Linked DNA regions of Nothobranchius furzeri. The protein of the gene in region 2 purifies or fractionates together with the protein of the main gene of each other region. This does not show direct contact. Links are inferred from orthologs where the notes say so. Each region holds a gene or a part of one and is shown on either strand. Other genes may lie near its edges.

What was found. The genes of interacting proteins can lie anywhere in the genome.
Region 1: the proteins of rassf6 (region 2) and serine/threonine-protein kinase 4 purify together in Homo sapiens (affinity purification with mass spectrometry; 5 studies listed by BioGRID and IntAct, counting the BioPlex papers as one, with this or other methods). This does not show direct contact. The link is inferred for Nothobranchius furzeri from reciprocal best matches to the Homo sapiens genes RASSF6 and STK4.

What each region holds. Positions count from the first base shown.
Region 1 is NC_091743.1:73,684,579-73,688,234, forward strand, and holds part of serine/threonine-protein kinase 4, read left to right. Parts: intron 1-1,758; coding exon 1,759-1,873; intron 1,874-2,361; coding exon 2,362-2,526; intron 2,527-2,716; coding exon 2,717-2,884; intron 2,885-2,966; coding exon 2,967-3,104; intron 3,105-3,268; coding exon 3,269-3,394; intron 3,395-3,531; coding exon 3,532-3,656. UniProt on the Homo sapiens protein: Stress-activated, pro-apoptotic kinase which, following caspase-cleavage, enters the nucleus and induces chromatin condensation followed by internucleosomal DNA fragmentation.
Region 2 is NC_091746.1:44,755,654-44,759,800, forward strand, and holds the start of rassf6 (ras association domain-containing protein 6), read right to left. Parts: upstream 2,939-4,147; 5' UTR 2,804-2,938; intron 1,161-2,803; 5' UTR 1,160-1,160; coding exon 1,116-1,159; intron 1-1,115.

The DNA.
Region 1 (3,656 bases), on a different chromosome or scaffold from region 2:
ACTACAGATCTGTTATATTTTACAAGGAAAGCAAAAATAAATGTTGCCTTTTGGTCAAAAGATTGCTTCTGTTTACAATTTTAGAATCACTTTAGTTTACATTGTAAATTTGCATTTTTGGAGCATGACCAGTTTAAAGTCAGATAAAAATGTCCCATAGCTTTAACTAACTTGTACAACAAAGTAGTTAATCCTGGAGCTGACACTCTTTGTTAATACTGATTGTGAATTGATTTAAATCAAGAATCGATTTTGAATCGAATCAGCACCCCAAGAATCGGAATCGAATCAAACCGTGAGTTGTTCTAAGATTCACATCCCTACTAGCGATTACATATTAGTAACAAACGTGACTCATAAACGTGAACAAAATATTAAATAAGGAAGGCAAAAGTGGACAAGAAAAAGGTAATGCAGGATCCTGAGAAAGGCAGAATTGGTAGAAATAGCAGCATGAAAAGAAGGTAGTGATGAAGAATCAATAGAAGGTCCCACCAAAGCCTGAACAGGTGAGTGTAAAGGAGACCACTGAGTCCACTGATCTCAGGCTCAGGAGGAGAGAGCTCCAGAGTCTTTGGGCCACAGCAGGAGATGATCTGTCACCTTTGGTCTTTAGCCTGGTGCTGCACAACCAGTAGGCTTTGGTCACTGGACCTCAGGGACCTGCTGGGGGTGTAGGGACTGAGAAGATCACCAATGTATGATGGTGCTTGTCCATGTAAGGCCCTATAGACCAGAACCAGGATCTTGAAATGAACCCTGAAGTTGACTGGCAGCCAGTGAAGCTGGAGGAGAAGCGGGGTGATGTGGGTGTGTTTGGAGGACTTGGTCAGAAGCCGAGCACAGGCATTCTGAACCACCTGTAGCCGGTTCAGGGAGGTTCTGCTCAGACACGTGAAAAGAGAGTTACAGTAGTCTAAGCGTGAGGAGATGAAGGTGTGGATAACTGTCTCAAGTTCAGTGTGGGGCAGGATGGGACTCAGCTTAGCAATGTTCCTGAGATGGAAGAAGGAAGAGCGAACAAGAGAACTGACATGAGAATCCAGGGTGAGAGCTGGGTCAAAGGTCACACCAAGATTCCTGACAGGGTTTGGTGTGAGAAGCAAGCTGACCAAGAGAGTCTCTGACTTTGGGAACCAGCTTGTCTGGGGCACAGATGAGGATCTCTGCCCTCCTTTCATTTAGCTGTAGAAAGTTCCCACCATCCAGGTTTTGATAGTCTAAGCAGATGTGTAACAGCTGCAGCTTAGACATCTCATGGGGTTTAAAGGAGATGTACAGTTGGATGTCATCTGCATAACGATTGTAGGCGATTCCTTTAAAGGAGCTCAGGATGTGCTGAAGAGGAAGCAGATAGAGGAGAAAGAGCAGAGGCCCCAGCGCAGAACCTTGTGGGACATCATGGGTGAGGGAGTTGGTGGAGGACCTAAACTTGGAGACGGCCACAGAGAAGGATCCCTCAGATAGATAAGAGGAGAACCATTCCAGAGCAGTTCCTGATAGGCAAGTTTCTCTAAATAATAACAAAAAAAGATCTAATTTGAAGAGAACAAAGTTTTAAAGGGCAAGAATGGTCTCAGGAGGTTCAAAACAAAAATCTAAATGTTATCAAATACAGGCCAGTTACCAATGAATAAGATTATCAGTCAGTTATTTCAGGAGCTTGTATTTGGTAAACCTGTTGGAACATCATGAAACAAGTTTGTATAAATAAACAAACAAAATGATCCTTGTGATTAGACTCCTGTCTCTGTTCAGTCCTCATGTGGTCAGGTATTATGGCAGCTATTTCAAAAACAGCGACCTGTGGATCGTCATGGAATATTGTGGCGGAGGATCTGTGTCTGACATCATCCGAATACGTAACAAGACGGTAACTTAACACTCACACACACACTCACCTGCATGTGTTTGTGCAGCAGACTGTGTCAGGTGTCAAAGAGGGAAAGGCTGATGCTTTACCCATAATGCACGGGGAAGAATCAGCATGTAAATCTGACTTTCACCAGTTTGCTCAGCCATTTCTAATGTTTTGCTGTTGTTTTTGTATTTTATGGTTTAAATCCAGACTTGGCACTGATTTGTGACAATAACAAAGGTAGTTTTCACAATTTTAACATCCAAATAAACTTGGGATGCACCGAAAATTCAGCCACTGAAATTTTCGGCTTTCGGCCGAAACATCAAAACCACAGGAGACAACAGAGCCGAAACACCCATTTTGTTTCTTTCTTTCTCACTAAAAGTGAAATATGAACTGAAGCTGTTTTTGTTGTCTGTATGCACCAAGGTTGAGTGTTATAGGTTGTTGCTGTGGGTCACATCCCATAATAACCACATGTTTGTGTTTTGGCTTTATAGCTGACAGAGGAGGAGATCGCCACCGTCCTACAGTCGACCCTGAAGGGTTTGGAGTACCTCCACTTCATGAGGAAGATCCACAGAGACATCAAGGCAGGCAACATCCTGCTGAACACTGAAGGTCAAGCTAAACTGGCTGATTTTGGGGTTGCTGGACAGCTCACAGTAAGAAGAACCTCTGAGTTTAAACTCTGTGTTAAAATGCTATTTTTTAAAGGGAGAAAGTGGAATCTGTTGTCGCTTCTTACACTAATACAAATATAATGCATCTGACGTTAAAAAATCTTCTCTGGAGCTGAATTGAAAACGTTACCAGCTGCGTTTGTTCCCTTGGATTTTTTCTTGACCTTCTCAGGACACCATGGCAAAGAGAAACACCGTCATCGGCACACCATTCTGGATGGCTCCGGAGGTCATACAGGAAATTGGCTACAACTGCGTGGCTGATATCTGGTCCCTGGGAATAACCGGGATCGAGATGGCTGAAGGCAAGCCGCCTTACGCCGACATACACCCGATGAGGGTGAGGAAGGGGCAGTGGGTTTGTCTGAGCTCACACAAGTCAGTCGGTTAATGAAATGTTTTTGTTTCATTTGTTTCTAAAGGCGATCTTCATGATTCCCACCAACCCTCCTCCAACGTTTCGAAGCCCAGATCTGTGGTCGGCAAACTTTCAAGACTTTATCAGCCAATGTTTGGTGAAAAACCCAGAAAACAGAGCGACAGCCACTCAGTTGTTACAGGTAACAAATAAAAACTGGGAATAAGCAGTCGGTGTTGGGCTGGAAAACATTATTACACTTTCTGCTACCTATCTCTAACGGACATTTCTTTTGGTTACGACTGCATTTTAAAGGCATCAGACATTAGAAATTTCAGAGCCACTTTTGTTTTTTCCCACCTGCAGCATCCTTTTATCAAATCAGCAAAGCCCAACTCCATCCTGCGAGCTTTGATCCAGGACGCCATAGAGATAAAACTGAAAATACAAGAGGAGGCAGAACAACGAGAACAAGATGAAGAAGAGAATTCGGTACAGACATAAGAGTCTGATCCAATCTATAGAGAATAAATCAAATGTTTTACTTCCAGATTACAATCAGTCATTCAAGCTCAAGAGATAGGAGTGCTAACTCAGCTAAAATCTTCTCCCATCTTTGCGTCTGTCAGGATGAAGATGAGGTCGACCAGGGGACGATGGTTCGGGCACCAAGTGAGTCCGGAACGATCCGGGCTGCTGGTTCTTTAGCAGGTTCACTTAGCGGTACTATGATTGAACGTGCGGACACGGGAAC
Region 2 (4,147 bases):
GACATAAGCATGTTTAAGTCACCCTTTAAGGAACCAAATTTGCAAGTCAGTACATGGAAATTAAAGGTTTATTTGACATTTTACAATAAGAATCATTTTATTAATGTTACACAGTGCATTATTAAGCATTAATAAACAAAGGATCCTTTTGTTAAAGTTGCCATTATTGTTAATTAAGTGTCCAGCGGCAGTGTGTAGTTTCCTGGCACTAGGGAGCAGTCCATACATTTAAGGGTATAGTTTTACACCACATCACCGTGACTGTTGCTAGTTTAAAGAGACAATATGTAGTTTCTACCATTACTTTCTGCAAATATCCATCAAAATGTTGTTGAAAATTAATGAATTGGTGCCCAGTTGCAGAAAAAAATTGGCGGCTTTGTAACATATAACCATAAAAATCTGGTCTGGGCGACGCCATATTACTATACAAATGGTTACAAAACTTGCATCACTCAATGTTATTGTTTTACACATTCACCTGCTCACATGTTGCCAGTGGTGAAGGGGAGTCTGATGTTCTTGTTATTTTGCTAAAGTTTGCACTCCTCAGAGCTTTTTGACCCTAATGGGCATCTGTTGATAAGGTCTTACTCCAACACAAAAATACTGCTTTTAATGTAATTTCAAATTAAGTATTTTTTTTCCCTTTTAAAATCTGCAAAACATTTACCACTGTATTGTTTTACTTTTTAGTTATTTTTAAGTTTATTAAAATGTTTATTTTGCCCTACATATTAAGATTTAAAGACATTCCTCAAGATACAAACTCACAATATGAATAACTGCTGAGGCACCAAGTCATCTGTATATTTACATTATTTTAGTTGACATTAATCTATTTTTTATTTGTTATTCATCTCCTTTGGTAATCTGCCAAACAAAATACGACAGGCCAAACACAATGAGCACTGTGGGCTTTTTTAGGAACTAACAGTCAGATTTGAAAGAGAAGCTCAGATGAATTATTGAGAGCTGCATTCCATATCTGCAGCTGTTCAAACTGGTTGTTCTGTGGAACAACTTCCTGTAAGTGGATTCCTGAACAGACCTGTCCCGGTCATACAGACGGTCATACAGAAAATCATTAAAGACCCATCACACCCTCTTCATACTGTTTTCGAGTGGCTGCCCTCCAAACGCCGACTTCGATGCCCATGCTGTAAAACACAGAGGAGAAGTTCCTTTGTTCCCAGAGCTGTGCTTCTTCTTAATTCTCAGTGCAGATAGGGGGAGTGTGCATTACTTGTATGTGTGTGTGCATGTAGTTACGTGTGTGTGTGTGTGTGTGTGTGTGTGTGTGTGTGTGTGTGTGTGTGTGTGTGTGTGTGTGAGCCAAAGTTTTAATCATTGTTGGTCATTCACATGTGAGTTTATGACATGATTGTGTATATAGGTTTTTATGGGTTTTACAAATGTGTAATTTGGATGTGTTTTTAGAATTTAGAGATTTTAGTGCCGGCTGCTTCACAATGCTGTCTCGAATTGCCCCTCGGGGACTAATAAAGTTGTCTTGAGTCTTGAGTCTTGAGACTTGGATTGATGCACACCTAACATCGAGTTAATGTACTTAGCCTTTGTGCGTGTGTGTGTGTGTGTGTGTGTGTGTGTGTGTGTGTGTGTGTGTGTGTGTGTGTGCGTGTGCGCTTCAGATTTCCATATCATGCATGAGAAAAATGGCTACCTGAGTCATGACGTCAGAAAAGCCTTTTGATAAAGGAAACACCTTGAGCTCTAAATGTAGCCAATCAACATACTCACTGAGGTGTGTTCATTTTTAGAACACTGACTGAAAAGATCTCAAGCTCTTTTATGAAAAGCAAACAAAACCCCCACATTTTGGTTTGCCACTGGACCATTCATGCAAGAACATTTTTGTGTTTTGGTAGCAAATGCAAATTTAAACTGGTGACCAGCATGAGGAAATGGTACCAGGCCTGTTGTGGCTGCACTCGGCTCTTCCACATGCTGTTAGATTACAAGTAAATCTTGTCTCCTGGAACTTCAGCCATACAATCAAATAAATGACACCAAACAAGCAGAAAACATTGTTTGGCAGAGAATTTTTGGCATTATCGTTGTTGGTTAAAACCCACAAACTCAACTGTTCTGCTCAAACAATAAATACATTTTCTGGCTCCGTTCAAAAGGAATTAAACAGAATTAGATTCGCTGTCAAAAGTGTCAGTTAATTAGTAATTAGAAGTATTAATGCATTAATTATTACAATAAATAATTAACCAACCAAATACTTCAACTTTCTGCTAATTTAAACTGATTTTAGAAGTTATTTTAAAGCAAACATTTCAGAAAGCAGTTGTTGATGTTGCACTAACTGGTCCTATGGTGCTTTGTTGTTGCCTTTTAAAGATGATGTTCAAGTCTTTACGTGGATAATGACACACTCAACCAGTACGCACCCAGTCTCTGACTTTATGACCTTCCTTTTCCCTTCTTCATAGATTTGTCTTTCTGTTATACCCCGTCCTCATGGCACATTTACGATTTCTTGATTGCACATTCTGATCTGATTTTATTTGGGTCTACAGGTTTCAAACCTAGACACTTTGTCCGAGGGAACAAAATCACGATGGAACTCCAGCCATAATAAATGTCAATTGTGAGATAAACTTTTAAAATTACAAAATAAATGACACATTGACAATGAATTTGGCAAACATTTGTCAGTAGTTTAAGATGAAAATGTTTGATTCTTTTTTATAGAAAACAATAGGTGTACGTAGTGGTAGTAGCTCCAGCTAAAGCCTTCTAATTTGATTGTCAGAGGAACGCTTCTTCCTACCTGTGCAGTTCAGCCTTTAGATCTCCTATTAAATTGTTGCAGGTCCATTACATGTTTCGAGTCTTGTTTATGAATCTGAGTGACTGTGTTCAAAGGTCTGGTGTATAGTTCGTGTGGCGGGAGGTGAGCCTTTGCAGCAACACCGCAGCAGCTGGTTAATTATTGCAAAACACGTTGAGACAGCGTTTAGAGGGAGTGGCTGACTGACACCAGATATGACTTGCCTTCAGAATGTGTGTGTGTGTGTGTGTGTGTGTGTGTGTGTGTGTGTGTGTGTGTGTGTGTGTGTGTGTGTGTGTGTGTGTGTGTGTGTGTGTGTGTGTGTGTGTGTGTGTGTGAAGAAAGAAAGACATTATGAGCCACACATGACAGAAGCATGCTGGTGTGCATTCAGCTGCAAAATTAGAGGTAGAAAAAGGGCTCACATAGCCAACATAGAGCACTACATACCACAAAATGGATATTTATGTGGTGCAAATGTCTTTGTGTTTTTTTCACCGGGAACTTGGTTGATTTGATTTGATTGATTTGATTTTTATTGATTAGCATTCAAATATTCCAATGAATACAGAATAAAGATTACCACAAAGCAAGAAACACAAAACAAGGCTAATCAAAAGGTATTGGCTGAAGCATTTGCTTATTACGCCAACCCTTTTAAGAAAGATCTTTTTGCATGAAGCTCCTGGAGCTGCATGCTGAGAATAAAACAAAACAAAACAAACAAACAAACAAGCAAAACAAACAAACAAAACAAAAAATGTACACCTTAGATAAGTAACTACATCAAAGCAAAACAATCAAGAGGTTCAGTATTATTTTTGCTCTTTTCATTCTTGGTTTATATATTTTTCTAATATTCTATTTTTAAACATATTTTTAAACAAGGACAATGAACTACATCTTTTTAAATCACTGTCATAGCTATTCCACAGGTTGACTCATCTAACAGAAACACATCTCTGCTTTACAGTTGTCCTTATCTTATTTTTGTTAAAGAATTCTGTTCCCCTTAAGTCATATTGACTCTGTCTGACTTTGAACAGCTTCTGAGTACTGCAGCAAAGCAAGTTATTTTGTGCTTTATACATTATCTGTGCCATTTTATGAAGTCACAGAGAAAATGTCTATCTTTCACAGGTACACAACAACAGCTACACCTATTCACATTCTTAAAGATATTGGCCAAATTTTATTTGAATAGCATGTGTAAAAAGTATTACAGTCTCAGGTGTAAAAGGTTTTTGGATTTTCACAGCTGATTTTTTCATTATTTCATGATAATAATGCTATCGCTAATGCTAACAATCAGTATGTGCTAGGATCTACTTGTAACTAACTTTT